Linked DNA regions of Mytilus edulis. The protein of the gene in region 1 purifies or fractionates together with the protein of each later gene. This does not show direct contact. Links are inferred from orthologs where the notes say so. Each region holds a gene or a part of one and is shown on either strand. Other genes may lie near its edges.

Evidence for each region.
Region 2: the proteins of pescadillo homolog (region 1) and ribosome biogenesis protein wdr12-like purify together in Homo sapiens (co-immunoprecipitation; 7 studies listed by BioGRID and IntAct, counting the BioPlex papers as one, with this or other methods). This does not show direct contact. The link is inferred for Mytilus edulis from reciprocal best matches to the Homo sapiens genes PES1 and WDR12.
Region 3: the proteins of pescadillo homolog (region 1) and nucleolar complex protein 3 homolog purify together in Homo sapiens (affinity purification with mass spectrometry; 3 studies listed by BioGRID and IntAct, counting the BioPlex papers as one, with this or other methods). This does not show direct contact. The link is inferred for Mytilus edulis from reciprocal best matches to the Homo sapiens genes PES1 and NOC3L.

The regions. Positions count from the first base shown.
Region 1 is NC_092349.1:84,177,511-84,188,792, reverse strand, and holds the start of pescadillo homolog, read right to left. Parts: upstream 7,038-11,282; 5' UTR 7,035-7,037; coding exon 6,879-7,034; intron 1,435-6,878; coding exon 1,355-1,434; intron 236-1,354; coding exon 82-235; intron 75-81; exon of another isoform or gene 30-74; intron 1-29. Other genes in the region: metalloproteinase inhibitor 2-like, read right to left, coding at 10,070-10,210, 10,862-10,983. UniProt on the Homo sapiens protein: Component of the PeBoW complex, which is required for maturation of 28S and 5.8S ribosomal RNAs and formation of the 60S ribosome.
Region 2 is NC_092345.1:84,388,471-84,399,752, reverse strand, and holds the start of ribosome biogenesis protein wdr12-like, read right to left. Parts: upstream 7,512-11,282; 5' UTR 7,441-7,511; coding exon 7,385-7,440; intron 5,586-7,384; coding exon 5,500-5,585; intron 4,225-5,499; coding exon 4,121-4,224; intron 3,512-4,120; coding exon 3,405-3,511; intron 1,854-3,404; coding exon 1,738-1,853; intron 364-1,737; coding exon 206-363; intron 1-205.
Region 3 is NC_092347.1:48,692,399-48,703,680, reverse strand, and holds the start of nucleolar complex protein 3 homolog, read right to left. Parts: upstream 6,740-11,282; 5' UTR 6,647-6,739; coding exon 6,632-6,646; intron 6,630-6,631; exon of another isoform or gene 6,459-6,629; coding exon of another isoform or gene 6,456-6,458; intron 1-6,455. UniProt on the Homo sapiens protein: May be required for adipogenesis.

The DNA.
Region 1 (11,282 bases):
TGATTGGTTCATGTGATATTTAGATTTACCTTGAATTCTCTGAACTTGTTTATGAGTGGTTCATGTGATATATAGATTTACCTTGAATTCTCTGAACTTGTTTATGATTGGTTCATGAGATATATAGTTTATATCTTTAGCGAAGTAGTATGTCTTTGGTGCTGTACTGCCTTTACCTACTCTCTTCTTGTGTCGGGGTTCATGTGGGTAGATACCTTTCAGTATACATAACCGCCTGAAATAAACATAATTATCTATTGTATCAAGTAGGGGGTTTTGTAATTCAGTGGTTATCATTTGTTGCTGTGTTACATATTTTTTTTATATTTTCGGCTCGCTAATTTTCATTATGCTTCTATATAATCATGATAATTAAGATTTGTCTGTCTTTTTTTAGAATTCCCCATCTTTCAGTGGATTGTTATCATGTTTATATAAATGGGGATCATTTAATTAAAACAAATTCCTGATTGCAATCAGTCTTTTACACATGATCATTTCATAATGCATGACATGTTGGGTTTCTTTTTCTACCAATATTGTTTATATTTTTCGATATTAGGTGGGCCATATAGTTTAGGTGGTCAGAGTGGTAGAAGTACATTAGCCATTCTTCTGACAACTAGCATCATCATGATCATTCATATTGTTTAATCAAAGATCGCTAGCAGTATGAACTTTCATATGTTTTTCATTATTTTTATTGAAGTGTTTTTAAAAAATGTAGCAATGGAAATGGTTTGAGTAATTAAGTTTTTTTAAATTAAAGGGAAACAAAAATGTGTCATTTGCATTATTACAGAATGCAACATGTTTCAAACCGGATTTTTCCTGAAATTTTTAATTGCATGTTTGTGTTGATTTCCCCCCTTATCTTCAATATCCTCTATATAAATCATGAGTAGATGAGAGGCCATGTTGTTATGTTGATTTTTGTTGGTTTAAGAGAATTTGTTATGCTGATTTTTGTTGGTTTAAGAGATTCTCGTGTACTTTTTAATCCTTGGCCTTAATTTTCAGGGTTTAAGTTTTCCTGAAGGTATATCCTGAAAAGCAATAATGAAGCATCACATTTATAAGTACAATTTTCATTATATACATTTTACAACAGAAAAAAACATTTTTACATAAAAAAAGGCCGTTAGTTTTCTCGTTTGAATTGGTTTACATTGTCATTTTGGGGGCATTTATAGCTGACTATACAGTATGGGCATTGCTCATTGTTGAAGGCCGTACCGTGACCTATAATTGTTAATTTCTGTGTTATTTTAGTCTATTGTGGAGAGTTGTCTCATTGGCAATCATATCACATCTTCTTTTTTTATAAATCCAAACCTGTAAATTACACACATACCTAAAATCTGCTAAGTTGAGTTGTAACTTTTTAATAGCTTGATTCCTTGACATGTAGGCTGTTGCTGAACCACTTTCATACTGAAATTAAATAATACATGTTAATCAATTGACTATTCCACGTGTCGGCATTACTACATACATGTAATCTAGGTTTATGAAATACACTTAGTAGTTACCATGCTTCCAATCTCCAATCCTACAGTCAGGAGTACTACATTTGTTCTTGTACAAGTAATCTTTATTTACTTAAAGATGTAAATAAAATATACTTATATAACACTGTATAACATGTATAACAGTATTACTTGATTATAACGTTTGAATAATCCACCCTTAATTTTCTCAAAAATTTACTTGTATAAGTAAGTCATTTGTAAGTTTTGAGATGTAAAAACATGCCTTTAACAATTGTTTTCATGTGAGCTCATAATTTTCTATTGGAGTACAATGTTTCATCTCATTAATTCAACAAAGAAACTGATTGGGCAAAGATCTTAAGTATTTGCCAAGGCCTTAAAAATTGCACCATGGGGGCTTGTGTTCTGAGGATTACAGACAAATGAGATTTTCATTGTCCATGAAATAACACTTACATGATTAGTACATGTAGTAAAGAAATCTGAAAAGGACATGAAGGACAAATAATTAAAATTCTATTTGAACAAAGAAGTCCTAAGAATTCAAGAAAAGAAGATAGGATAACTTTTTTACTATTATAAGTAAAAAAATCAGAATGTCTTTTTTAAAAGGGACATAACTCAGCCCAATTTTTTGTTTACCTAAACAAGTAAATAAAATACACTTGTATAAGTATCCTACAAATTTACTTATATAGGTATATTAATATTTACTTCTTCAAGTAAATAAAAATTACTTGTACAATTAGTACCCCTGACTGTCCTATACATATTTAAACAATAAATACATGTAGCACGCTTAAGATAAGAGATAGTGGTGACTGGTGAAACAGGAAAACTTTCAAAATAATTGACATCTATCAAGTCTATAGCAAAAAAATTAAAGTGACCACACCTAAAATGACTTACATGACTTATACTCCAGAGAAGCTGCATATTTTTGTAATTACGCAATTGAAACAACAGAAAACTCAATTCAATTGTCCTTCTCTGCATTAACCCTTTCAACGCTATACACGGCATATGCCGCGATGACGTACGCCATTTCCCACTGATATTCGCAGCATATGCTGCAATGACAAAGGATTTTTCATAAGGACTCTTAAACCATTCTGTTTTCATTTGGGTTCTCCCTTATTTTTTACTCGTTTGAATCAAGGATATACAAAGTCTCATTTGCGACTGAAATCCTGGCAATTTTTATTGTAAAATCATGCAGTAGAAGGAAAATAAAAATATTTTGACAAATGCAAATGGCGGAAATCGGAAACGAAGCTGTAAATATGGAAATATTTCAGCATTTCTATGGCGAAACTAACGAGGATTAGTTAAAAGGTTTCTTTTTATCTCAATGTAATTATAACATTTAATTCGTGTGGGAAATATGATTTGATCGATCATTACGAGACGTAGAAAAAGGGGGGAGAACGGAGGTTGACTGAAATTTTTTAGGACATATCCATTTCTTTGTGCCACGATTACATAAAACATTGTGTATGGTGCAATACGCTACGGAATCGAGCAACTGGTGTCTTCTTTGTCATATGGCAGATAAAACAACAAAATAAATGAAGACTAAAAGTAGTTTTTATTCAAAATTCAATACAAATGTAATAAATTACACCTTTTACCTGTTACAGTGATTTTCCTGGTGTTTAGGGGAAGGTTCCTGGGGCCCATGCAATTGGGAAAAATATGATTGGTCTTTACGACGGAGGGCACACGGCATAAGTCGTGTGCGCCTTGCTTGGGGGGTTTGGGGGCATGCCCCCCAAGAAAATTTTGAAAATTAGGTGCAAAATCCTGCATTCTGAGAAGGATTAACTGCATGAATTGCCTACAAAATAAGCTATCTTTTTAAGGAAAAGGATTAAAAATAAAAGTTGAATGTGTCTGAGGACACATTTGCATGCACTCAAGCTTTGTAACTTTACTCTTGAAAGGTAAAATTCAACCTATCCCTTCTGATTCTATTTATAATGATGAGAATCTATAGAAATTCTAAAAAGACACATTTGAAATCTGAAGCATTTATTTTTTAGTTTTATTTAAAATTCCAAGTTTTCCTTCATGTTTATTTTTAAACATGTCAACTAGTTGTTCCAGTTCTGTATCTGAGAGTCGGTCTTTTCCTTCTTTCACTTGTTTCATCAGAAGGAAGTAGAAACGACTTTTTGAATCCAAAAGCTTCCAGCTTCCGGCATTTACTACCGTCCGCCGCCTTTAGCTTCTTTGTGTAATATTTGGAATTATGAGACATGATCTACGTTCATTTTGTTTACATTATGTCTCATTTTTTTGCTTTGTCATTGAATTATTCATTCGGATGTTTCAAGCGCAAACGTGACCAGAATATCGTAGATTGCAATGCAATCCAAAAAAGATTGCAAACCAATCATCGTCTTAAGTGAATGATAATGATAACTCCCGAAATACCCCGAACGCTCAGAGATTTGTCAACAAAATAATACACGATATAGAGATACGACAATAACAAAATCTCGCGACGATGTCCATATACGATTGGGAATTTTAGAGCTGAAAATTGGGAAAAAAAGAGCATATTTCTCTTTGGGAATGGGGCCGAAATTCGGCCCCAAAATGAGGGTTGGAAAATCACTGTAGTTAATTACCTGAAAATGCAGGTAACCTGATAAAAATTTCATTAAAGGGGCACTAGCTGTCAAATTCATTGTAACCGATTTGACTCAAATTCTCATATTTGGTTTATAACAATGTAAAACATTTATCCAAACTATAAAAAGTCTAAAATAAACAGTTTACAGAGCATGGGGTAGATAATATATAGGTTCGTTTCGTGTGTATTTTAGTCCAGACGCCATCTAATTAACTATCGATTTGACCTCAGATGACCATATAAGCGATGTAAACAAAAATAAAGATACGAATAGATTAAACCAACACGTGCAATTGCATTTTTATAGGTCTGTTTGATTTTATTTTATAGATTAAAAATAGATGTTTCTCATTGTTTTTAACCATATAAGAATGATTTTATGTGCATCGAATTAGTAATCAAATGATTTACTGTAGTTTCACTTTCATTGTTGACATTCTTTTTCTTTAAATAACCAGTACACGTACAATGCATGCGTTGTCAATCTCTAGCTAGGGGTTAACTTAAAGTTCACATGAATACCGGTTAGAATGATGATGACGTTTTCACTTGCAAGTGAATCAGTCAAAAATTATGTTTAATCGCTTATTTCAACAAAATTAAAGGAAATTGATTGCTAAAAGCAAATTATTATTTCATTATTCCAATTTGATTAATGATTGATCTAAAAAAAATCATACTTTATTTTTTTATATATATCGTAGCTAGTGCCCCTTTAAAATAATTCCCTTACATTACAGTTCATGCTCTCCTGAGCATTTTTCATGCAATAACTTTCTCTGTATCTCATATAATAAAAAAGATACAGCAGCCTGAAAAAGAATATACTGTTCTAATGAATGAACACCAAAAAATTGCAGCAGCAGCAGCCATTTTTCTATTTTTTTGTGTAGCGTTGAAAGGGTTAAAAAACTCATTTCATTCAAAGGAGAACCAAACTATTTATTAAAACTATGCATTCACAATCCCATAAGTCGCTGGCAAATGCACTATTAAACATAATTTATGTTTGCGTAATTTATAAAAAAAATAATTGTTGTGTAATTTATAAACATGATAAATTTATTTTTTTGTAATCTTAAGAAAATCTCTTAAATATGCACCAATCAAAAAGACTTGTTACCACTTTTTTTTACAAATTTCATCTATCAGGATTCAAATATATGTTACCAAATTTTATGAACTAGTTATTTTAATTTATTCATTATTTAATAATTCTGGGGTCGATCAATGTAGGACAAATTGACTTTGGCAAATAATGGGGCCAGATAGTCTTGGGGCTGGACAGGTTTTGGGATGGAACAACTTGATACCTTACAGATCCCAGGTAACATGGCTCAAAGCAATGGACATTTGAGCGCATTGACAGGACATTTGAGCGAGAAAAAAAAAGGACGTTTGAGCGCCAAAGTATAGGACATTTGAGCGCCTAAATTTTAGGACATTTGAGCGAAAATAAGAATAAGCGTAGGACATTTGAGCGAAAACAAGTCTTGGATAGAGAATTGTCTTATTGGCAATCATACCACATTTTCTTACGAATATAGTTCATTAAATGAGGAGTTTACCAACAAAAAGATTAAAACATATTTTAATTGTAAAAAACAAAGCACTAAAAACAAAGCACAGTCATAAAACAGGAGTTTACCAACAAAAAGATTAAAACATCTTTTAATTGTAAACAAAGCACTAAAAACAAAGCACTGTCATAAAACATAAAACTCGGCAACTCCTTTTAGTGTTTTGTCCACTCTATATCGGAAACTGTCACAAACAAGGCTTCTTTTTCCCTTATTAGTCTCGGTCAAAATAATATCCATTTTAACACGTACATGTATTATTAGTATTAAGATTTCAAGTGCCAAGGGACATTTCACTTAATAGATATATATATAAGAATTTTAGAACAAAGAAAATTTGCATAGCCAATGAATTATAGTAGAATTGATTGGTAAATAGAGATCAACTTAGGATTTCACTTACATAAACCAGCCAGAACCGGTCGAATTACTCGGGTGTGAAATAAAATAAAAAATATTTATAACTAAATCTTACTTTTTTTTCTTACTTTTAAAAAAAAATCTTAATTCGTGTAAAATTATCAGGGAAAATTTCGCTCAAATGTCCTGTCTGAAAACTCAGGTAAGGTTAATATCCCGGCGCTCAAATGTCCTATGAAGTCGGCGCTCAAATGACCCTATGTGCTTTTTTCTTTTTCGCTCAAATGTCCTATGCCCTTTTTTATTGAAGAGTTGTCTCATTGACAATCATACAATGTATATACCACATCTACTTAGTTTTATATTTATATCCACATTATAAGTATAAAACCTGGATCTCCTGTAGTTGGTGATCCCAATACTGGTATACCAGTATTGTCCACAATACTGGTATAAAAAATTTGTACCAGTATTGTACCAGTATTGTGCTTTTTTTAAATAAACAATATAGGTAATTAATCTTTTGTTAAGGGTGTCACATATATAAATGCATAATGAAATTAACATATGACATGACAATTTTATTAGGAATGATTGTGTTTAACTGATGATGCCATAGATGGTACACTATGATTGTCATCAAATAAAGTTTTAAATCTTCTGATGTTTTTTTCTTAACCTTTCTGTCTCAGCATTTTAACAAGATCTGTACTTTCTTCTATGTTACCGTTTTAGACGCACACGCTCTAACATCTTTTTTTTATTTAGACAAACAAACCTAAATATTGACTCTATGCTCATACGTACCTTCTTTTTCTTCTCTCCAACCATTTTTAGTCTTCTAAAACACTGCAGCACGTGTTTGATGTCAACACTGTTTTCAAGTTCCGGTAAAAGGGAGGTAATGGGGATGTAACTAAAAACCAAAAGTTTATTTCTCTTTCGTTGTACAATAACGGTCATTAACGCTCAAGTGGCAGACACCAATCAAAGTCCTGGATAGCACCTGTTGAAAGTTTGCAACGGTATATGTGTATTTTTTCGGAAAGGTTATAGATGTGTTTTATTTCAAATATGTATTAAATCACAGTCTCATAGCTTTGATGTTTTTTACTAAACAATTAGTCAGCCTTATCAAAGATCATTTTTTCTATATATGTTTGTCATGTAAAATTTTTATACTTTCTAAACTGTAGATTAAGAATAATCAAATATATCGAAATCTCTGTTAATTTCTTTATGTGTCCATCCCATGTCAATGGCCTGTGAGTTTAGCATATTTTATTGATTTGGGTCCTTCATACTTGTTTTTAGTAAATCATTTGTTTGTTACTATAATTATAATCTGTAAGTCTTCTTGTTTTGAATTATTCCACATTTTTCATATCAGGGCCTTTTATAGCTTACTTCTAATGTGAGTTTTTCTCATTTTGATGACCTTACGGTAACCTATATTATTTTATATATCTTCCTCCTTTGCACTCCGGCTTTTGGATAGCTGGTTCATTCGCAAAAAATACCACATCTCTTATTTTAATTAAGACAACAAACTAAAATCAATACAACTATAGTGAATTTATATGAAACGCTTTAAACAACAATGGCAATATGTAGACATGAATAAATAGTAACTGACAAGTTTGATGGCGCATACCCTTCTCTATAAGTATATATTATAGTGTTATTAACTGGCTGTTTCTGTTTCTGTATTGGCATTGGTATAGATTCAAGGTTTGCCGTATTGGCCTAGAGACCCGTAGGGTCGTGGGCCAATACAGCTGACCGAAAATCTATACCAGTACCAATACAGAAACAGCCAGTTCATAACACTTTTATTAAATGATTATAAGAAAATTAAAAACCGGAAATGAACTTCCCGTATTAGCCCATGGACCAATACGGCTTTTCCCCAGCTTTTTTTTGTATTGACCCTGTTTTTCCCGTTTCAAAACTTTAAGACGTTACAAAACATTGCACATCATTTAACCTGTTTATTTTATGATTTTAATTTAAAAAATATTATAAAGTTAAGTAATGGCGTTAGAAAATTGAAAACCAGAAGTGAACGTGGCTAATACGGCTTTTCCCCCTATTTTTTTCTGTATTGGCTCTGTTCGAAGAGCAATATTAAATCTTGGTTTATATCGACAGTGGAACGTTTTCAGTATTGCACATGCTGATTTATCCGTATTAGGGCTTATTTGCTCATATCATTTAATAATTAAATATATAACCTTGGTTGTTTTCCTTCATTCAAATTGGATTAATACTGACTTGAAACTGAAGTCAGATCTATATCCAAAGTATAAAAACTTACAGAGCCTAATGGTCGGTATAGTTTAAAAGCAGCTGTAAACGTTCTCTGTTTTTATGGTTTTGAAGAAACAACTACATGCAATATATCAGTCCCTTGTAAGCAATCTTTTATATATTTTGTGTAAGGTTGAAGGCAAGCGCCATGCGAAATGATCCAATGGCTTGAGTATTGCTACATATGAAAGACAAACCGACTCGCATAATCTAGCTCTGGTTAATAACTGTTTTCAATAAATAGTCCAGTCGCTTATTTATCGAAATGTAACAAGTTGTGTGTTCTGGGGAGGTAAATTGCATACAGGGGAAAATGCACGAAAAGATCATTTTGTGCATAAAATTGGTCCAAAATGGATTGACATTCAACTGCCTTCCCTTAAAGGCCAGATAATTTACAGCCCTGTCATTAACGTTTTCACAAAAGATCAATTTCTATTATTTTGTAAAATAATTAGCACAGACTTTGTCACAGTATTCACAGGACATCCTTATGAACAGTTTTTAAATAAGTGTTTCAGTTTTAAAACCCATACAGTTAATTTGTTCAAAATAAAAACGTTTGAATTGATTTTTTTAAAGCGACAGTTTTTATGTCTCGTTCATCGTTAGAAAACTAAATTTTCTGTTTAGAATAACAACGGATAACTTGTTCCGTTCTCAGTAGTTATTAGCATGATTCGTAATAGATAACCAAGTTTTGATTGGGTTCGTGTTTCTTAGTCTAAAGTTGTCTATGCTATGTTTTGTGTACTGTAATTGTCTGTTTGTATTTTATTTTTAAGCTATGACAATGCCAGTTTATTTTCGACTAATGAGTTTGAATATCCGTTTGTTATCTTTCGCCTTCCTTTAAGTGGGTTTTATTATACTGACATTTATACACCACAAGGTTCCAGATATATTTTGATTTGTATTGTCTGCTTCTGAATTTGGTCTTGATTGTATCACGTGAATATAACAACAAGATGGTGTGGTTTAATTACCAATAAGAGACAAACTTTCACAAAAGTCCAAAGGGCGAAAAACAAAACTGAATGTCACCATACTACCTTCTTTAATAAGCAAATCAAATTCCAGATAGTAAGCTATATGGGTGCCACATGGTAAGTAGGACATGCTTACAAGGGACGGATCGAGCTATTTTAAAAAGGGGGTTCCCAACCCAGGATAAAAGGGGGGGGGGTCCAACAATATGTCCCCATTCAAATTCAATGATCGTTATTAAAAAGGGGGGTTCAAACCCCTGGACACCCCATGGATCTGCCAATGCTTACCCTGTAGGAGCACTTTTCGTATTGCTCAATCTTTAATTTTCTATTTTGTGTTTTGTATGCTGTTGTTTGTTTTTCAGGTGTTTATCATTTTTGTAATGGCATTGTCAGTTCGTTTTTCACTTCTCTTCTGCAAAAGGTTCCAGGATTACAAAATGTACAAGAATTCAAAAGAGAAAAATTACTCAGAGTGTTATAAACACGCGTAAAGTGTATTGAAATCGACATTTAATGTGCAGGTCAAATTTCGTCGACTAACAACTATATATCTATCATGTGTATCTTTTCTATACCTATGTAAATTATATGGTTTATTGAGAATAACGATAGAATCTTTCGTCATTCATAAATTTTTATTAAAAAAACCAAACTCAAAATAAACAAAAAGACTGACTATACACATGTATTGTACAGCTATGAACATTGTTCATCATTCTTCCATTCACACGTGCCGCCTTGTGCTCTTCTGCATATGGCGGTCTTACGGTAACACTCTTTCGAACTGTTTGACAGTTTACAACTCCTTGGCGTCGATGCATCACCCTCTTCAAGAACCTACAGAAAGATGATTTAATCAAATAAGTCATAGAGTAAGTTACATTGATTCAATTAAGCCGATGCCCATGCTCACCGTCGCATTTGCTTATATGTCACCGGGATACATTTTCTAGAGGTGCATGTCTTCATCCAGTATGAAAACACACCCGGTTTATCTAATTGAAGCAAAACATTATAATGATGCATGTCAAATTTATATATATAAACTTTACACATTTTATTGATCAATCTCTTGAACAAAGTCGGGGTGGCAATTACATTTAAATGTGGGTGATTTAATCTAGTTGCAGTTTTGTTATTATTATTACTAATGAATTCAAATTAGTATATAATATGATCATAATATATGAGATTTAATATATTTGTAACACTTTCTTTCATTTTAGCTGAAATAGGTCATGCACTGATAGATATTTATTGTTAGAGAATGTACTGCATATTTGTAATTGGCTAATAAATATTTTTGACATTGATACGAACTTATCATAAAACAATGTATTAGAATTGCCCTCATTTGTTAAAGCAGTCATACATATGAATTTAGTTAACGTTTGCCAATTTCAAAAATATATACACTAAATAATATTTGCCATGCACAATTTATATACCCCTACTCAGTAAACTTTTAATAGTCACACATTTGCATACCTTGCATCTACAATTTCTAATGTAAGAGTTTCTTCCCCTTGTCAGGAGATACACCCAGTTTTCAAATGTCCTAGGAATAAGCGTGTTGCAAATTCTGGTTGTGTTTTCACCTCTCGAGCTCCCTGAAAATAACAAAAATCAAAGAAATAATTTATCCGTATCGAATCGTTCAATTAAGCGAGCTGTCTCTTTCCAGCTTCCACACTGTTTACTCGTCAAATAATATTCATCTGACTCTGACTGTACTGCGTACAAGTTTGAATTACATTATAAGCTGTCCCTTTATAACAGTTCCATGTGTCTGAGAACAGATCTATGTACGTAACGATTAATCTTCTATGTACTACAATGTTTGATTCCCGAGGATGACTTTGGAATATATATATAATCACTTATGTTGTCGCCCGACAGGCAGTACAAA
Region 2 (11,282 bases), on another chromosome or scaffold:
ACAAAACGCAAAGTCCCTTGGGTGTTCAGTTTGGACAGGTTTCACTGCATAAGTTTTTTTTAAAAAGAGGCTGAAGCCTTTGTCAATTCTTGGCTAAAATATTTGAAACTTTTCAATGACATATTGTTAAACCTTAGTTTACTTCAGTCATACAATCCACATTTCCTGTAAGTATCAAAGCATTATAACTATGTCTTTAACCTACCCTTTGTTTAGTGTGGTCAATATTTATACAATCCACACTACCTGCATGTCCACGACATGCAGCCACACAGTCTACAGAGTTAGATTCACTATCCCACTGCCATATATGAATTGTCTGATCATGTGATCCTGACATAAATGTTTTCACTGTGGAATCATCTAAAATAGAAAAAATGCATAACACAAAATATTATAATTTTTGGGATAAGATTGCTTTCAAGCAATCTGTAGACTTTTACCATTGGCTCAAGGCCATGCCCTCACGTCAACCGTTTTATTCTAAACATTAAGGAACATCTCAGATTCTTATGATTGTCTTGCTTTGAAAGGTAAAAACAAACAAAGGGATTGAACTACAATACCCCTTCAGCCGAAATGAAGTCTTCTTCCATATTATCGTTTCGAGTTGTCTCCCTTCCGGAAGTAACTTCTGTCAATTCTGAATCAAAATACGATATGACACGTCGAGAAAAATAAACTCATTCTGTCAATAAACGTTGTATTATATCAAAAACGATCACAATTTAAACCGAGGAATGTGTATGGACAGGAGTCATGCCCACTGAACCAAAGGAAATTAAATATTTAAAGAGTTAGGAATGGGGTTCCTCCTAGAATTAATGTAGGAAAATAGGTGATAAGATACGAAGTGAAATACCTTCTCTCACTTTGAGTCTCAGTGACTGCTGTGGAAAGTAAACTTGGAATTGATAGTACAAAAATAAAACACAATAAGTACATTGTTCATACACTTGTATCCGGGATTGGCTATTTTGTAACTATTCAGATAACGTAAATTATATTTTACATGTGCAGTTGAATTAGTTTTGAAAATAATATTATCCAGCTACATGTATACATGTGTCAATGAAAACAATGGCAATCGTATCCCTCAGAGCAATCTGCTCTTTGATTTCATTTGCATCTGAATATGTTTAAAATATTACAAAACAATTTGTGATAAAATGCTTCAGTAATGTGATACGGGTGTCTGCAATACTGATGATTTTCACAGAGAATTTACATTTGTGGTTGTTAAATAAGTCAAACAAACTCCTCTTTTCAGTACACTTCAACAAAAAATTGATATATAGGAGAAGGCAAAAATACTGCAAGGTACAATAGACCATGACAACAATCAAAGCACTCCATCGAAAATATAGAGATACCAAAAATACCAGGTTGGAAACTTTGTAATCTAAATATTAATGGATTGCTAATCTCTTCTGCCTTCAATACTTTTTCGCGAAAAGTGGTTGTCCTCAGGATTTTACCACCAAAATTTGGCTAAGGACTGACTAAATTTTAGTTTTTTTGAATGGAATTAATATTGAGGACCTGCAGATTTTCTTCAAGGACCACCAGGGAAAAAAAGATTTCGCGAACTCTGTTCAATAGTGAACTTTTTACATTAATCTAATACCAACTACTCATTTGTTATTTAACCCCTTTACTTACCGTAATAGCTGCCTTATTAAGTATGAATTGTTATAGATACCATATTTGTGATGGTAAATTATATCATATTCTTACCATCTGTTATCCATTGAACACATTTGACAGGTGCTGAGTGGCCTGGGATCGTCAAAAATGGACTACCTTTAACTGACCAGAGTCTAACTGTGTTGTCATAGCACCCAGACAAAATGCTGAAATTCAAAGAATGCATACTATAGGGTGACAATTTAAAATAAGCAATATCACACAGGTCACATATCTACTTTAACCAATTTAACTATGGAAGAGATCGTTTAGTTCTACGACCAATTAAAAAGATCTCAAAAAAAAAAAATTGGCTAAAAAAAAAACTTTTATTTCTTCCTGCTTTACATACATATGACTTGATGTATTCTTAATTTTCTTAAAAGTATAACATGGATGGATATTACTGATTGCCTAGTCATCATTGATGATTAAAAATATAACAGGGCAATAAACATCTTTTTCCTGACCTGGTATAGCCACGGGCTGATCTAGATTTTGAAAAAGGGGGATTGGAAAGCCCCAAAACTAGCTTCCCAATCCCCCCTTTTCAAAATCTAGATCAGCCTGTGGCTATACCTGGTCAGGAAAAAGATGTAGTTTTTACAAATATACTTTTTTTTAAAAGAAATCTTTAAAACTTCTCACCAACATTCAAGCGTTTTAAGTTATTTTTACTGTGAAAGTACTTTTGTTCATGGGGAACCAATTTTCGTGGTTTTCGTGGATGACTTTATTCACGAATTTAAGTGTCCAATGAAAAAAAACCCAACCATTGTCAAAATCAAGATATGGAAATATCCCCATGTAGGTTTCACTTCTGATATGATCTAGAGAACATATTGAACATCGCCAAATCTAAGAATACTATTATAGTTGTCACAAGGCAAATGCACTATGAACTACAACTGCAGGCAGGATTAGATCCATTTAATCTTTAAAACCTTAACTGTACAATTTTTTATCTTTTAAATCAAATAAAACAATATTTTGATCGATGAAAGACAGATTTCTGGTTTTGTTATGCTATGATTACTCATAACTCTCGTACATACAGGAAATAAAAATTTCATGCTGGGCTGGCTTTTGATAAAAAATATTTTACAATTCAAGATACGCTTAAAGCATTTGTTTATGTAATTGTTTTCTTTAGCTGACATGGTAATGACCTAATCAACACCTTTAATTTGATCTTTAATCTGTTGATCACTCTATCTAGGATTAATTAGTGTGCCGGGTCACAACAATTTAGACAGGTCAATGTTTACTTTGCATTTCCTTCAATCCAGACAACTTGTAACCTTTGTTTCTAATGGCTTCAATTTTACAAATTTTTTTTTCATAGAAAACTTAAATCCACAAATTTAAAAACCCACGTAAATGTTCCTCAAACCACGAAAATTGATACCCACGAATTAAAGTACTTTCACAGTATAGCAAAATGTGCAACTAAATAAAACAGAACCATTTAAATTTCACATGCAATACAATACTGATCTCATTTTTCAATCTTCTTAACCCTTGCTATGTGGATGGCCAAATACTGAGAATTCAGATTTTTTTTCAAGTTTTATTTATTTGAAAAGTTGAAACAGGATTTTTTTTTTATTGGTTTAGTTGGCCTTCAGTAGGCAGGAAGCAGGAATTCCTCAAAGATTAACAGTCCTGATACCTTACCATAGACACTGTTGTATTTCCATGGTTACATTTATACTTACCAATCTTTACAGCCCTGTATACAACTGACCCAGTCATCATGTACTAGTGAGTCTTCTGGTTCTGGAGCTTGTTGTTTTTCAATGTATTCTATATCAACCAATGACTCCTTAATATAGAAATAATAAATTGTTTTAAAAGGGATGTATATGTGTGTGAATATAAGCCAAAAATCACCATGAATGAGTTGTGATATTTTTTTTTAAAAACAATTATTTATAGAAAGGATTTTTATCAGAAAACATTATTTAGTAATCAAAACACATTAAAATGGATACAGCAATAACCAATAGTGTAGCACCTTGTTCCCCATATCCAATACATGTCAGTTTATAAAACAGAGGATCCAATTTCTATATAAAAACACCTTATGGTCAGCTCTGGTATTTGTCAAATTTAATCTGTTTTGTTGTGTTGATTTCTAGGTAAAAATTCCTGTACAGACAGGTTCTCAGCAGAAAACAAAAAACTTATTTAGCATTTTCTCCATCATAGTCAATATTATTAATTCAACAATAATCAAAGATTTATTCAAATTGTCTTTTGATCTCAATCAGTCGTCTATTTCCAAAGTGAACAATGAACATAAACCAATTTTATGATTGTTTGAGCCTGAAGTGTACGTATATTTTTCTTTAAAAGGCATTTAATAGATATATAAACCTGGACCAGTGGCACTCATTCTGTACTTGTACTAAAATGTCTTAAAAACACTTACTGTTGATATGCCTTTGTTTTCTAGATGCTTATCTAAGTTTAGTCGCAGAAATTCTCCATCAATTAAAAAATCAAAATCAACATTTGTCTTCTCACCATCGCCCTCTGAAATTGAAAACGATCAATACAAAATTATTTAATTAAAAAATAATTTAATTAAGGTGGTACCTAACACTACAGGGAGATAACTCTGTAGAATCAGCTAAACGTTTTAATTACGTTGTGTTGTTAAGGGAATATTAAGCTTCTCAATGATCAAAATGTGTGTTTGTCAAACTGCTATATAACCAGTGTAATTTTCCTGATAAAACGTTTGGTTCAAATATTTTGAAATTTTTATATTTTTGTTAAAGGGTCAAAGTAAATACTTTGTCAAAATTTTATGAAAATTAAACGAGTCAAATTAATTTTAGTAAAGGTGTTGGGTACCTTAAAGGTCTTATAACAATTGAGAACTGGATATGGCTTGATATCAACTCAAGTTATATAATATTATTATACTGTAAACCAACTTATTTTCCCAGATACTTTATTTCGAATTCAGCCCTTTCAGACCACTTCCATGCAATTTTATTTTGTGATTATCAAAGTTACAGGATATATTTAAATGAAGGTAGATTTAAGGAATAACAGTACTGTAGTTGAAGAGTTGCCACCGTCAATTGTAGATTTGATGGTCGCAAATGCAGTTTTACTGGCGACGCGTAGCGGAGACAGTAAAACGGAGATTTGCGACCGTCAAATCAAAATTGACGGTGGCAACTCTTCAACTACAGTACTGTTATTCCGATTCTAATGCATTACAAAAAGAAAAAAATACAATAAAACTTGACAAAATGTCTAAATTTGACAAAAAGAAAAAAATCTGCGAAACTTCATGAATGATTTTGGCACAAAGACGTCATGGCTTAACGTGCATCGTATAAATAAAAACTTTCAAACTGGAGTTTATTACATTACCTGTACGCTTCAAATTCGGATAAAATTACATTAAAACGGCAAATTCGAGGTAGGTGTTGTTTTTATTTTCGATTATATAGAAGTAAACGAACATTTGTTGATTCAATCAATTCAAAATGGCGGTCCCTCCTTAGTTACGCCTGGTCAACTGTGGATTTGACGGCAATTTTTAGCCAATGAAAAAAATTGTAACATCCAAATTGCATTAGAATCTATGTTACATACATGCACATATTCAATGTTAACATACTCTCAATTTAGCTGCTCTTCTTATTCAATACAAATATTTTTTCTGCACTAACTTAGAAGCAAAACAAAAAAAATTATATTAAGCACTTTTAAACTTTTTCATCAGAATTTACTTTACTCCTTTTAAAGATCAACTATGCTCTATATTTTAAGGTTGAAAAGCATACAAACCATTCAATAGACTGTTTATTAATGAACTCAGGTCACATGTTCCAACTTGTGCTTGAACTGAAAATGGTGCAGATGGAACTGAAAACCTAAAAAATATTAAAATTCAAAATGAAGTGGAAATGGATTTCTTTGTTGGTTTATTCTGACTTTTTTCATTCAGCGACTAATAATTTAATGCAACAATACTGTTGACTAAATATTATGGTACATTCTTTCTTTAATGATTTTACTATCTGCTGACAAAGAAAAAGAAATAACATGTAAATCCTGATAAATATAAAACACTGATTACCAATAGATAAACACTGGTACATGTAGTAATCAACAAAGAAAACAAATAAAAAGTTCACATCTTATGCTAAGTTTAATGTATCTCTATTTTTCAATTTTTTTATCTCTTAGTTAAAAATTCTCCATCTCAAGCTTCTCAACTTAGAAGGGTTTTCCTGCCAACTGTCACTATTTGTGGGGGATTTCCCCCATGGAAGCTCCCAAATGGAAATTTTGAAAGAGCAAATTTGTTAACAATTTTAAACAAAACAATGACTTTTACAATAGCTAAAGGCTTTTAAAAGTATGCAAAAGCCCAAAACCAACATCAAAATGTATTTGAAGGCCCCCTTGAAGGTTTTGTAGGACTATATGAGCCACCTTGCACGCAAAAACCCCATGGTCATTTTGAAAAGTTGGCAGGTATGTGACTTCTTACACTAGTACAATGTTTAATTGTTGTTGTTCAGGAAAATAGTTATCAACCGATTATCTCTGGTATTTCAACTCATAAAACATTTATAAAACAATATTGTTAAAAAAACAAATCTAGGTCCAGATCTTTCAGACATTATCTTGGTTCTAAAAATCATAAAACTGTAAGAGCCAACAAAAAACATGATCTTCATTACCGGTAAGTTGTTTTACCAATGTTATTTCAACTGATCAGGCGGAGCTTATGTTTTAATTTGCATAAGGACAATCTATTTAAAGATGTGTGTGATAAGGATGATTGCCGTTATAATTAGTATTGAATTCTAATCACCTATCAGTGTCATCAAACACATATACATTTTGTACTAAAGAACTGAGTGTGTGGTATGCGAAAAATAACTGGACACTTCATTGATGAGTCCCAAAACTCCTGTCCATAGATGGACTGGTCTTAAATGAGCAAACTTCTTAAACCCCGCCCAGTCAAGTGAAATAAATCTAGTATTATCTTGAATTAAATTGGAAATCCAAGATATCAAAGAAAATTTTGAGGTCAAATGTGCAATATATCTAGTTAAAATGACACAATACCCCAAACTGTTGTCTCTGGAATCTTGTCGGCATTTTTTTCATACTACACATTACAATGAAGATTTTAATGCATAATTTCCATGGGACTTTATTTATGTTATTAAAGGGGGAACTAATGCCATTCGATGTACCCAAGATACATTGCAAACAGTCCTTCCTTTTAACCTTCTTTTCTAGTATTCTAAGCTTAAAATCAAAGTAAAATGCAATTTTCAAATGGTGCAATGCTCTATTTTTGGGAACCCTCTGTAAATTAAAAACATATTTCAAGGGGAGTTTCTATGTATGCTCTTGAAAGGAGCATAAATTAAAATGAGTTTCTGATTTCTGCTTTCTGAAAGAACTGCCCTTGCTGATAGGTGTTGTTCAGGGAAAAACTCTCCTGAGAAATTGTGATGATATTTTCTTGGCATCCTAACAGTTATAAAGAAGAAAATAAATTTGTTTGACTAATATCTGACTTATCTTGATGCTGAGCTTGGAAAATCAATCGAATTATCGGTTTTAAACGGGTACTTCTGGAGTACACCCTCTTTAGGTTTGACATTAGGAAAATAATTTTAACTAATAAATTGATTAAACATATTACTGAGGTTGTTTTGTAAAGAATCTGGCTTGGACATGTGGTATGTTGTTTGTTTCCATTTTATCAACATGTGGGGAGATAGTCGGAAATCTTTCATAAACTAATAACGTCAGAGAAGTTCCGAACGAGTGGTATTATTACCGTCTTTCCTCAAAATAAATGATAAAATTTCGTACAACCTGTGATTACTGTTGTATGTCTCTGGTTATACGATCTTATATATGTGTTCACTATATAAATACTTGGTTGTTAGAAATCTCAGGTACAAATAATTTTAAAAAGAACTACAAAATTCAATTTTCAATTTTATTAAAATTGAAAATTGAATTTTGTAGTTCTTTTTAAAATTATTTGTAGAGTGGGGTGCTCATTTTCGCCATATCTTTCGATGTTTTCTACAGTTTATGTTCCGGTCTATATGTTTTTGAAGTAAACTGATATTTCTATATGAAGATTACTTCCAATGCAAAATATTTTTAAGCTTGAAAACGTGTTTGTTTGAAAATAATCATCTTAAAAGTGAGACTAAAGGGTGTTTGAAATTTCTTGATGTTTTGTCGATGGGGGACACATATTCGCCGTTTTTACACATCTATTTAAAACCAAATAACTTTAAACAATGTTTATCAAATCAATGTCATTATAGATGAATAGCAGACATTTCAAAGGTGTAATGAACTGAAATTTAGGGCAATCAAGTCAAAGAATTACTTTGAAATGCTTCTTTGAAACCATGTTTTTCATTCAGGAAATCAGCCGAAAATCGTTGTCTATTTTTCGGTCCTTTGCGGTAATTGCCAAAATTTTGTCTCAGATTAAAAAATAATCATGTTTGTTATAAAAATATAATTCACCGGCATATTTCTTCATTTCAGCCATCCTTTGAAGTTTTTACACCCCAAAATCATATAACGGTGAAATTGTGTCCCCGGCGAATATGGGCACCCCACTCTATAAAATTGAAAATTGAATTTTGTAGTTCTTTTTAAAATTATTTGTACCTGAGATTTCTATAACAATCAAGTTATACTCTACGCAAGGATTTGTATAGTGATACTATACAAATCCTTGCTCTACTTTAGAATAAAGTTTTTACATTTTCTCTTTTTTTTATACAATATCTTGTCTGTTAGGTTGTTAATCTTGCACATCAGAACAATGCAAAAACTTGAATTTTCCAACTTCATGTCCTGTTGCCATGGTAACCGTTGTTCATAGAAACCAAAAAATTGTTCTCATTTGATTGCCTTGTGAAACTGTATTATTCTGTGTTAGTTTAACAAAGGATATGACAACATATGTCACACCGATGATGAAAGATATAAAAAAACTGCTGTTGATCACTGTTTCGTTAGGGGTCACAAAAACGTTTTTCGGGCAAAAAATAGTCTGGTGACCCATATTTTTTTTTATTTCTTTTTAAAGCTCATTGTTATGACCATCTTATGTCAAATTTAAAAAAATATTCATTGGACCATTTTTTTGGAAATTTAAGAAAAATAGAAATTTTTAACAAAATCTGTGTTTTTTTTGTGGAGCAGTGTTGATGAAATTAGAGCCGAAATCAATGAAAATGAATAAAACTGCCATTATTTGTGTTTTATTTACATTTTAAATAATAATTTTGTAATAAATGAAGAACAAACCTTTCAAAATACTTTCAAAGGCTTAAAAAAAAATCCAGAGTTTCTACATCAGGTATGTATTTATGCATACACGTGATGTGCCAACTTTGGTGACCGTTACCATGGAAACGAGTCTGGTGACATACTATTTTTAACTCAAATTTTCATAGAGGCCATTGCATAGTATATGTATGCAAATTTTAAGAAAAATTCAATGGTGAAAAAAAATTTGCTATATCTGTAGGGATCCGCCTTAAATAATTTTTATATACTTTTCATAAGATGCCTTGATGCAATTTCATCGAATTTTCATTTCATTTTTTTTCTCCAGAAAAAGTAATAATTCACTGTAGGCCTTTTAGTTTCAGCAGGAATTGTATCGTAAAGCTTCTATAGTATACAAATCTTTGGTCCCAGCATGAATACAAAATTGATACTCATATAGATTTTGAAAAATAGAAGATCATCTCGGCAATAGATTTTGTTGTTGAATAAATGATATGACTCGATCTGCTGCAACTTGCATATAAATATAAAGCATCTTTCTGTAAGGAAAAGGTTAAACATGCTAGTAGAAATACTTCGATACGATTCAGTAAAACTGTAAATGTTCTCTTTGACACATATATTACTAGTTTTCGACAATAATGAACTTCGATATGTTAAAATTGAGAATGGAAATGGGGAATATCAAATGTCAAAGAGACAACAACCCGACCAAAGAGCAGGTACTGTGACAGTCGAATGGTGTATGTATTCCTATGGTGTATGTATTCTTATGGTGTATTCATGTATTCCTATGGTGTATGTATTCCGATGGTGTATGTATTCCTATGGTGTATGTATTCCTATGGTGTCTGTATTCCTATGGTGTATGTATTCCTATGGTGTATGTATTCCTATGGTGTATGTATTTCTATGGTGTATGTATTCCTATGGTGTATGTATTCCTATGGTGTATGTATTCCTATGGTGTATGTATTCCGATGGTGTATGTATTCCGATGGTGTATGTATTCCTATGGTGTATGTATTCCGATGGTGTATGTATTCCTATGGTGTATGTATTCCTATGGTGTATGTATTCCTATGGTGTATGTATTCCTATCAACACCTATTGATTCCGTACTCTTTTATAGAAGCCTTGGTTGTGCACTTTTAGTGGCAGCCCTTTTCGGCTGTATCGTATGTTTCCATAGTTGTTATTTTGTCTTATTTTGTTTTTGGAGGGGGACTTTATATATAAACACTAAAAACACACTGACATGTCGCTGGAATGGTTAACTTTTTATATGTCAAATACATTATTGAGGTAGTATTTCATATGGAAAAATGTCTGTACAAATGCAATTACGATCTCAAGCATGTAACATGTCTCTATGATCTCAAATATGTGACATGTCTCTACGATCTCAAGCATGTGACATGTCTCTGGATGTCTAACTCTTACTGAGAAATATATAAATGGGTGATAATTTTGTATCGAAATACATATGGGACAATATTGAGAAGAAAAAAACCTTCAATATTCGAATACCCATTATAGGGGGTCGTGAGATAGGCGAAAATCCAAATCACCAACAATCTAATGTTAACCCCAATAAATCCAATTTAACCAACAATAAGTGTCCTTTTCTATATTTTCAATTATACTCAAAACGATATGTGTCTCTAATAAATCACGTCTCCTTGTGCATGTCTTTTTTCGAACTCGTTTGCTGTCCACCGGTATCTGTAATAATCGTTCCCACATTGTAAATTCCTACAGAGAGCTTAAACGCGAAACCCAAATTTGTAAATTCAAAAAAAGGACATTCACCCTTTGCTATCCATATCAGAATTGTTCAAAACAAGCCCACTTGGCTAAACGTCCACAGCACATGCAACTATGCAGTTTTAAAATTATTCAAAGCAAAAATATCACAAGGGCGTACGCAACGGCCATCTCATCAAGTTATCAAACTCACCATACAAATAAAATTCAGAGAAACCCTTCATGACATTGATCATACATGGTATTCAAAACAATTAAGAGACAAGTCTGATATCCAATGAGTACAACTGATGCCCACAGTAACACATAAGCCTGGTATCCTAGCTGTACGAGTTTTTAGAAATCTGTAAAAAGATTCCAATGCTGATACATACATAAATTTGCCTTGCTCATTGTTGAAGGCCGTACGGTGACCTATAGTTGTTAATGTCTGTGTCATTTTGGTCTCTTGTGGACAGTTGTCTCATTGGCAATCATACCACATCTTCTTTTTTTATATAAAT
Region 3 (11,282 bases), on another chromosome or scaffold:
TGAAAATTTGAGGGCAGATAGATCTTGACCTGATAAACAATTTTACCCATTGTCAGATTTGCTCTAAATGCTTTGGTTTTTGAGTTATAAGCCAAAAACAGCATTTTACCCCTATGTTCTATTTTTAGCCATGGCGGCCATCTTGGTTGGTTGGCCGGGTCACACCACACATTTTTTAAACAAGTTACCCCTATGATGATTGTGGCCAAGTTTAGTTTAATTTGGCCCAGTAGTTTCAGAGAAGAAGATTTTTGTAAAAGATTACTACACTGTGTCTAAACCACACCGGCAGAATTTGATCGGACTCGATGGTATCTAACGTCCGGCACAATGACGGAACATCAATAGACAGAAGAAAGATAGGTTTCTCCTTTTTTTCTTATTTTTTTAATGATATCGAAGAATATATATACATATACAACTATTTTCTATTGTGAGATGCAATATTTTCTACAACCGTTCTATATTAACGGAGAAATAAGTCAAAATGCATGTCAAAATGACGAATTGAGTGAACCTTGCCTCGAAATTGTTTAATTTCTCTTTAAATTGTTCACATTGTACGGAAAGAAAGGTACGGGAAGATAGATACTGACACAGAGATTGCAAAACTAGTCATTATGAGCATCTCAATACTTGTATTTATGTGTATGGAACGAAAGAAATGGGCCATGTCAAATAAAAATACACCGGTTTCGTCATTGTTGTTTACTACACAACACCCGGTTTCGTCTATATATGTCACCCGGTTTTTTTATATTTTTTTTAAACCAACAATTTATGAAAAGCAACGTTAACACGGATCTGAACATTGTCTTTCGAAAGAATTTAAATATATATGCATTATAAAGTAAACTTGGCGTGTTTACATTTATTTACATAGGTAATTATAGTACTACACATTTTCCTAATGAAAGTCGTATCCGTTATTTCACTGATCTTCAAACTAATTTTAAATGGAATATAAATACTCAATAGCAAACACTGATATCTAATTATTTTTATAACATTAACATTATGATATTTTTTTTTAAATAGGTTTTGAGATACATCGCAGTATGTGACCCCCCTTTTTTTTTTACAAAAAAAACCTAATTAACGCTTAAAAACAAAATTTAAAACATCACCTTAAAGTATGCAGAAGTTAAGATTTATATTACTAAGAAGTGTGTAAAGTTTGATGCAATAATGATTAACCATATTGAGATATGGCGCGACATGTTAAAAAAAACACTCCTGTTTTACTTACAAAGTTCTGTAACTCAAAAAGATTTAATTTGATTTTCACTAAAAGGTTTACAAATCGTTTGACCATTTCAAGAAATAACTTTGTTAAGTTTCATGAAAACTAGATAAGCTGTTCTCAAGTTACGGTGCGACATGTTTACGCTGGACAGAAAGATAGACGGATAGCTAGACGGACGGACGGACGGACGGACCAAATGACTGATAGATGAAGGAACGGACGGATGGAAGGACAGATGGACAGACGGGTGTATACAATAATACGTCCTGTCAAAATTGGGATGGGCGTGTAAAAACGCAAAGAAATGAAAAAAAATTCGTAATAAAAGGTCAATAAGTTTTATTAGGATATCGGCCAAGTCGATTTATTTGTATATTTGTCTGCCTTATCATTTTCCTATATAACTTTTATATATATTTGAGAAAAATGTATAGAAATCGATAAAAAGAACTTGATATTCGGCATTTATTATAATAAACATAATCCGATTTCCCGGGTGTCCCTGTTTTCTCATTTCTTACAATATTTTAATTCGTTATACACTTTATAAGATAAGTGGCGAATCTAGATGACGTATAGGTTGCACGCCCCGAACCCACCTTCGGTTGCCAAAACTATATTGATTCCTGTATTTAACGATTTTGTAAAGCAAAAAATAATCAAAATATTGTTCGACTCGCTACGCTCGGCGGTATGTACAAGTTGTTCGAAATCGCCTACTTTGAAATAAACTGAATCCGTCTGTCCGTATACATTGTCAAAATATATTGACCAACGTCAGTGTACGATCATCATAACACAATGGCGACAGTACAGACTCGTTTTTTTTAATAATGTTAACAAAATAATTATTATTGAATTTTATCGATGACCTGAGACTATTATACTAATTTGTACATAGCAGTATAGTTACAATTAGTGATAAATACATTTTATTTTAATGCATGGTAGTTGTAATCCTACATTCTATGTCGATTATGCATGCATATACATTTGTCATCAACGTTTATCCTTAAGAAGATTTATTTTTTAACGATGGTAGAAAAGATTACATACATGGAATGATTAGATTACTTATAAAGGTGTCCATTCTTTTGTGCGAGAAAATCACATATCAATTGTGTGTTTCTATTTTTAAGACCCGTAACCTTTAATTTCAAGTTTAAACATGTTCAACATATTTTCCCATAACTCATATAGAAAACGCATATTTAAAGAGCTTTAATCTCAATATGCTGTTAAAAAAGTTCGGAATGCAAAGTAAAATTAAAATATTTGAGTTCTATAAGAGTAGGAATTTGCTTATTATTTATTTTAATCTGAGACTCATATAAATAATAAGCCGCTGTCCGGTGAACGAACTTGTTTTCGAACGACCCACAAAACTCCTTTTGAACTCTGAAATTAAATAATCAATTATAATGTAATGCGATTATGATTTTTTTTATTTGACCAAACCGGGTTATGCATTTTGAAATTTATGACGAAACCGGGTTGTATACATTGACGAAACCGGCCAGTTCCATTTTAGCATGACCCATTTCTTTCGTTCCATACACAGAGTTACAATTATTGAGATGCTCATAATAACTATATTTGCAATCTCCGTGTCAATATCTATCTTCCCGTACCTGTCTTTCCGTACAATGTGAACAATTTAAAGAGAAATTAAACAATTTCGAGGCAAGGTTCACTCAATTCGTCATTTTGACATGCATTTTGACTTATTTCTCCGTTAATATAGAACGGTTGTAGAAAATATTGCATCTCACAATAGAAAATAGTTGTATATGTATATATATTCTTCGATATCATTAAAAAAATAAGAAAATAAGGAGAAACCTATCTTTCTTCTGTCTATTGATGTTCCGTCATTGTACCGGACGTTAGATACCATCGAGTCCGATCAAATTCTGCCGGTGTGGTTTAGACACAGTGTACTAAGATTTACGAAAAAATGGTTAAAAATTGACTATAAAGGTCAATAACTCCTTCAGGGGTCAACTGATCATTTTAGTCATGTTGACTTATTTGTAAATCTTATTTTGCTGAACATTATTGCTGTTTACAGTTTATCTCTATCTATAATAATATTCAAGATAATAGCCAAAAACAGCAAAAATTCCCAAAAATTACCAGTTCAGGGGCAGCAACCCAATATCGGGTTGTCGCATTCATTTGAAAATTTGAGGGCAGATAGATCTTGACCTGATAAACAATATTACCCCATGTCAGATTTGCTCTAAATGCTTTGGTTTTTGAGTTATAAGCCAAAAACTGCATTTTACCCCTATGTTCTATTTTTAGCCATGGCGGCCATCTTGGTTGGTTGGCCGGGTCACGCCACACATTTTTTAAACTAGATACCCCAATGATGATTGTAACCAAGTTTGGTTTAATTTGGCTCAGTAGTGTCAGAGGAGAAGATTTTTGTAAAAGTTAACGACGACGGACGACGGACGACAGACGACGGACGACGATGACGACGGACGACGGACGCCAAGTGATGGGAAAAGCTCACTTGGCCCTTCGGGCCAGGTGAGCTAAAAAGACTGTTTAACCGTTTAGTGGTTTTGGTATTCAGTCATTCGAACGGTTAACCGGTTAGCCAGTTAACCGTTGACAACACTAAATAATAGTAAACATCTATAATACTTATATTATCTAAGAAACAAACTTTACTAGAAAACTTAACATTGACCAATAAAATAGGTCAAGGTCAGATGATACCTACCAGACAGACTTATGCACCTTACAATCATTCATTACACCTTATATATTTGACCTTTTGATTATAGTTTAATGAAATCAGGCCAAAACATAAAACTTAAAACTGAGCAATGAAGTATGAAAATGATATAAAATATTTCCATACACCAAATATAGTTGCATTAGTACAACCACACATAGAATATGGAAACACAATATAGTATCCACATTTGAGGAAAGATATTAATGCAGTAGAATTCTGGATATACATGCAAGACATTTAGGGTATGAATTGAAGAAAGATTAAAAGAACTTAAACTTTCATCTTAACAAAAGGTGAAGAGATTATATGATACAAGCTTTTAAAATTATTAAACGAATTGAAGATACATCTTACTGTTATCAAGACAAATACCTGTGGACATTCATGTTATTGGAAATTAGCGAAATCTAGATGTAATATTTCTTTTCCTTCAAGACATTTTTCACAACATAATATAAATGATTGAACCTACAAGTTTATTTTTTTTCTTCAAAAACTGTGTAAGAAAGCTTTTAAAATAAGTACAATGTATAGACCATCATTGGCAGTCCGTTATATATCAGTTCTTTTCCTTCTTCATTAGTAACAGAATACCATCAACCTTTATAGGATTAATTTCCAGGGCATGCCTGTATGAGTTCTTTTTGAGCTAATTTCAATTTTTCTTTTATTTATTTATGAAATTTATAATTTTTTGAGTTTTGATTTTTACAGTTTTTATATATATATATATTTTTTATAATAAGATGTAACAATAAGCATATTTAGTTTAGGTGAGAGAATGTTTGAAGGTGCACTTCATGAGGGAGTGCATCCTTTAAGTTGTTTAAGGTATCCAGTGTTAATTTATTCCGATCTTTGATTGTTTGGCTGAAGAATGAAAATTTAAACATGTTAAAGCTGTCTTAGTTACATTGAAGTTGTCTTTCTGTTAACAATGGTTAACTGATGGGTGGATCTTGTTTTAGACTGGCTTTTTCTGAGTTTATCTTCGATGGTATTGCAATTTTATTGTTGAAGACTGTGAGGAACATTGGGAGTCTGGTTTTTAAGATGTTTAACCTGCATTCTTGTAAAGTTTGCCATTTTAGATTTTCTAGCATTTCAGGGACCCTGCTGGTATCATGGGCATTGTGATATAGGGTGCTAAAGAGATTTTACGTGCAACAAATTCAGCCTTTTTATTTCACATGTGTTTCGTGCTTTGATGTTGTTTTTTTGTTTTCTTTTGTTTGGTTTGATGTGTGTGCTTTGTATTTCCCTTTATTTATTTTTCGTGTTACTTGTAATTTCTTGTGCTTGTCCTGAAAATGATTAAAAAGTAAACCAGAGACTAATACAAAAACAGCCCAGATGTTAATATTGTTCTATTCATTAATACATGTAGATATAGCAATGTATAGGAAGATGTGGTGTGAGTGCCAATGAGACAACTCTCCATCCAAATAACAATTTATAAAAGTAAACCATTATATATGTCAAAGTAAGGCCTTCAACACGCATAAAAAGCCTATTCCTCAACACGAAATAGTGGATGCTAAAAGGTGGCCACAGGGGTCTCCATGTCCATTAATAATAACATCATGATCTCAAAGAACGGCGCAGTAATAGCTTTTGTTACTTTTTTCTCTTAATAAGGGGACGATTTCCCCTATAACAGAAGAAAAATCAATAAAAAAAAATATTTTTAAATATATAATTTTCAATGTACTCAAAACTTTTTTATTTTCCCACATTTGGGCAGAAATCTCTGTCTTTTTTCCAGTCTCATTTGTCATAAGACTTTGAGCAACAGCAGAGAAAACATCGGGAACGTTATGTCATTTACGTTTCATTTCAAACATTAAAATCAGTCCAAATAATTATGACGTCTGGCAAGGCTATTTCATTTTTTTTCTGGGACACCTTCCTATGACGTCATAACGCTGAAACCATTTTTTATGTCTGGACTTTGAGAGCAAATATTGAGCGGACTTTGCAACCTAATTTTTTACATCCAAAACTTGCTCTCAAACTCCAGGTGGAAAAAATGGCTTCAGTGTTATGACGTCGTTGGAAGGTGTCCCAGAAAAATATTAAAATTAGCCTTGCCAGACTTCATAATTATTTGGACTACATTAAAATATGTTAGAATTAAAAAATAGTAATTGATATGGACTTTGTCCCCTTTCACACGTAATGCAGCCTCATATTATTTATCTGTAACTATAGTTTGCTAACTATTTTTATGCTCTTTCTTTTACTTATTTTAATTCATTTCTAGATTTCGTCAGGTCAATGATATAATTTTTGATGAAGACATAAAGTTTTTTAATTTTAATTGTGTTAAACATTGCACCAAACTTTGCCAAACCATGTACAGGATTGATGTGTAAATCAGTTTTAAGAGTGTACCAAAATAGGGAGGGCTAAAAAGGAAAGGATCCTTCCATAATATGATCCCCACAACGATCTTACCATGTTACAGGCCACTTGTTGACGGAAAGTTATATAGATAGATGGAAAGCGATGGACTTAGTTAGACCAAACGACAGTGTTTTTCGGGGGCTAATTAAAAGTCTTGAGTTTAGAAGCGGATGACGGACGCCAAATGACATGCTGGTCAATTTTGTGAATTAACACGTGAAACTTACTCCTTTCATTTTCATTTCGAAATTTTCAATGTAGATTTTGATTTTTTACAAAGAACTTGTTTTTCATTCATTATAATCGTTTCTCAGATACAGATTTTAATAAACATTAACATACAGACCGTTCTCGGTTTGATAATATTCTTTTCCGTGTCTTGTTCGCTGGCAAAAATCTCGACTTTAACAAACTCACTACACTAACTTCGGGCAACCATTGGGGCATTGGGGAACCATTAAATTAAATTCAAGGAGGGTAATTCTTTTTTTTTTATCCCCAATTCGATGACAAAAATACAAAAAAAAAATTCAGTTTCCACAACAAACTGACTCAGAAATTAATCATGCTATACCCCCCCTTTAAAGTTAAATGGAATGACAGACCAAAATCAGTCATTGATTGGAAAATGCAATCTATAAAAATATCAAGTGAACGGCAATATTTAATGACCTGAGTGGAAACAATAGTTTTCAGTCATAATCTTTAATATATGCTAGTAACAAAACTACAGACTGCAGGATCACATCTATGGAAAAAATAAAAATGCATGCAATGAGGCTATAACGATCTTTAACGAACAATAACAAATCAATAAGATGTAAACAACAAAATAGTTCTCTAAAATTAGATATGTTTCATATTTCTTTACTGCAAGCTATTTTTAAAATTTAGTTTTGGACTCTTTGGACCTTAATGTGGACCAATCATTCCCAAATCCGTCAAAAAATGTAAATCACGATAAATTTAATATTCAGCATATCAAAGAACACCAAGAATTCATTTTTTTAAATCAAAGATAGAATGTATTTTGAACCCTTTGGACCTTAATGCATATGTATTAAACCAATTTGAGGACATGCCTCAAAAAAAAAAAAAAAAAACAAGAATGTGTTACTAGTACATGCCCCATCCGCAGTATCATTTTTATGTTCAATGGACCGTAAAATGGGTATAAAAGCTCTGGTTTGGCATTAACATTAGAAAGATCTTATCATAGGAACATTTACACTAAGTTTGATTTTAAGTTGATTGGACTTCAACTTCATCAAAAACTACCTCGACCAAAAACTTTAACCTGAAGCGAGACAGATGAACGGACGCACATCCAGCAAACATTCTAATTTTTAAAGAAATCAAACAAATATATAAAAAAAGATCATGTGGTCTTATTGCCAATGATGAAACTCTTCACAAGAGACCAACTGACACAAAAATTTACAAATATCGGTCACCGTACGGTACGTGGCTTTCAACAATGAGCAAGGCCCATACCCTATTTTAACATATAAAAGTTTAACTTTGGACTCTTTGGACCTTAAGGGAACAACCAATGTCCATTTAACTTCAAAGGGGGCTGATGGTTTTTCCTAAAAAGATATTCTGGTCCCCAATTTGATTAAAAAAATATGCTCAAGTAGATAACAAAAAAAAAACCATTCTAAATTCGATTTATGCACGGGTGTTAAATTTCGAGAGAAAAAATAATTTGATTGAAAGCGTGGAAAAATTACATAAATTATTGGGGATTTTTTTTTTTGCGGACTTAGAAGAAAAATGATTCCCACCCTTGAAAGCAAATGGTTGCTCCTTAATATGAATAATTTCAAAATCAAATTCTTAAATCCGAATTTCAAATGCCCAATTAGATTCAGCATGAAAACGCTTCCAAGAATTCAAGACTTTTGAAGTAAATCCCATTTAAATTGCTTAAAAACAAACTAATTTATTCAAAGTATATGTTTTGGTCCTTATTAACAAAAGTAATTTAAAATCAATTTTAATTTCATTTAAGGTTCATGTGGACCCTATGTCTAAAATGGCCGTATTTTCACCTCAAAATTTTCTCTGAGTATAGGCAAACCTGTGCATCTGGAAAAGTTTTAAGGCATAGCATGCCCTAGATAAATAGAATTCAAATGCATTGTATGATTTAGAAAATTCATAACTTAACTGAATTTTGCCGTACACTTTTTTTCGTCTCTGCAGAAGATGATAAAATTAACAATCAGTTGAGTTTACTTTGATATGGTCCACTCAGGTACACAGTTTAAATAACCAATTATTGTCAGGTATCTATTGTCCTCTAATGTCCATGTCAATTAAAAACGCTCACTTTAATTTTTACCTGTGGGGAAGTTCTCAAACCTGTTTCCCAACTTAGTTTATTTTGGCACCTTCTGGAGGAATAAAAAAAAGTGCACAGCAAAATCCTGGTAAGTTTTTATTTTTCTAAAACATAAAACATACTTGAAAGTCATTTATCTAGGGCATGCTATGCCTGAATTTTTTTACAGATGCGCAGGTTTGTCTGTACTCAGAGAAAATTTTGAGGTGAAAATACGGCCATTTTAGCCATAGGGTCCACATGAACCTTAATGGTATAACACCTTGTGACACAATTAAATAGGAATGAATAGAATTATACTCACAAATCAGAAAATTCATGTTTTTGGTCGCTTTTCATGATCACCCCTTTTATAAATCGGTTTGGACCATTACCCTTAAATTTGATCTCATCTTTCCTCTTGAAGTATGGAACCTTATAGTAAAAGTCATAGAAATCCATATGCTAATACACAAATAAGGGAAATATGTACCAGATGATTAGGTTCACCTATTGTTTATAGTAATTCACGAAAAAAAACCCAGACCAACACACTAAATATTAACGTTCCATTGAGTATAAACAATGAAAATTAGTTCAAGGTCAGATGATACCTTCCAGACAGACATGTACAATTTATAATCATCCAAAATCCTTATAGTTGACATATTTAGTGCAAAGGGGTGGGTTGTTGTGTGTGTGTGGGGGGTGGGGGGTGGGGGGTCGATGAAATATATAAAAAAAAAAAGGAAAAATCAGCAATTGGCCAAATCAATGAAGGATGACATTTTATGTAAAAAAAAAAAAAAAAGGCAGGACCAAATAGAGTGAAAAATGAAAAATGCAGGACAATTTTTTTCATACTAGTCCTCCTAAAAATCAAATGGTAGCTTCCTTATAGTACTTGAAAAAACGGCCATACCACAATAACTTAACATTGACCAATGAACCATGGAATTAAGGTAAAGGTAAACCTGCCAGACTGACATGTACCCATAAAAGTCATTCCATTCACCACATATAGTTGACATAATGCTTTTTGCATTTGAAAAACGAAACTCTAACCTTGATCACTAATCCATGAAATAAGAGCATGGTCATTCGAATAGAACCATCTCTGACGACATGTATAGGTCGCAAGGAACCCAAAAACCAATTACGGTTATCTTATTCCTCATAATAAGTGAGAAATTCACATAAAAAAAGCTCTATTTTTTTTTCAAGCAATCGCTGAACCATGAAAATGAGGTCAAAAACCGAAGACATCATGACAGACGGAAACTTCGTAACATAAGCTATCTGCATACAAGATATGAATCATCTTCTACCTTCTGAAATATAAGGCTTTCATGATACAAATAGTTAATGCCGTCGCTGTCGGATAGTTCTGAATACCTATGTCTAGCATACTAGATAATTCGTTGCAGGCGAGACAAAAATATTTTCAAGTTTGCCTCAAAATAAGAAAACAAAAAAGAGTTTCTGCCAAAGTTTCAAAAATTCTGTTGGAAGTCTACTGAACTATGGAAAACATTACCCTAGGTACCTAAATGTTGCTGACAGAAATGAATGTAGATTGAATCTAGACCAAATTAGCATAGATCTTAAAACATCCTAGAAAAGATAAAAAAAAAAAAAAAAGCAACTGAGGTACGTCAACTTTGGGACACCTTCAAAAGTCAGCTCCAAAACACCATGAACACTTACATTCCAAAAAAAAACATTAGTTTGGGGAACAACACCCCATGGGTCAAACACTAAAAGAGAAACTTGAATGCAAAAGAAAAAAGCAGAGAACTAACATTCCAAAAAACACATAAGTTTGGGAAACAACACCCCATGGATCAAACACAAAAAGAGAAAAATGCAAAAGAAAAAAACAGAATTTACAAACAAGTCAGAAAAAAGCAAATGGTCAAACTATACGTCTTTCCAAAAATTAAGGAATGCAAGAAACAACTCAGGAAAGCAGGACATGAGTTTATAAACCAAAACATCTTTGAGAGCCTAAACATCAAAGACACAAAGCCTTTTCGGAAGTTTATTGAATTTAAACGCCAGGAATAGCACTATTAAAAAAGTGGACTAACCTCATCAGTGACAGTAAAGGAAAACACGAACTCCTTCTAGAACAATTCTAGTCCGTCTTCCCAACAACATCAGACACTAGCTTACCAACAACAAGAATGCGAGTAGAAATCAATAAAAACCAATAACGATTGTCCAAAAGTGACTTCAGGAAAACAACAAAAAAACACCAATCAATACAAAGCATCTGGACCTGAAAATATCCCAAACCGCATACTAAAGGACTGCTGAAAAACTAGCGACCTTTCTACAAATCATAATGCAATGCTCGCTAGACACAGGTGAACTACCAACAGACTGGAGAGATGCAAACATGTCCAGTATCCGCAAACCAGGTGCTCCGCAGGGCGCAGCTTTATACGATCACAGAAGTCGAAACCCTGAACAGTTGGGGCAAGTATGGAAACAACATTCAAGCTTGATAGAGCTCTGAATTTGGATTGCAATCAAATTTGACATAATAT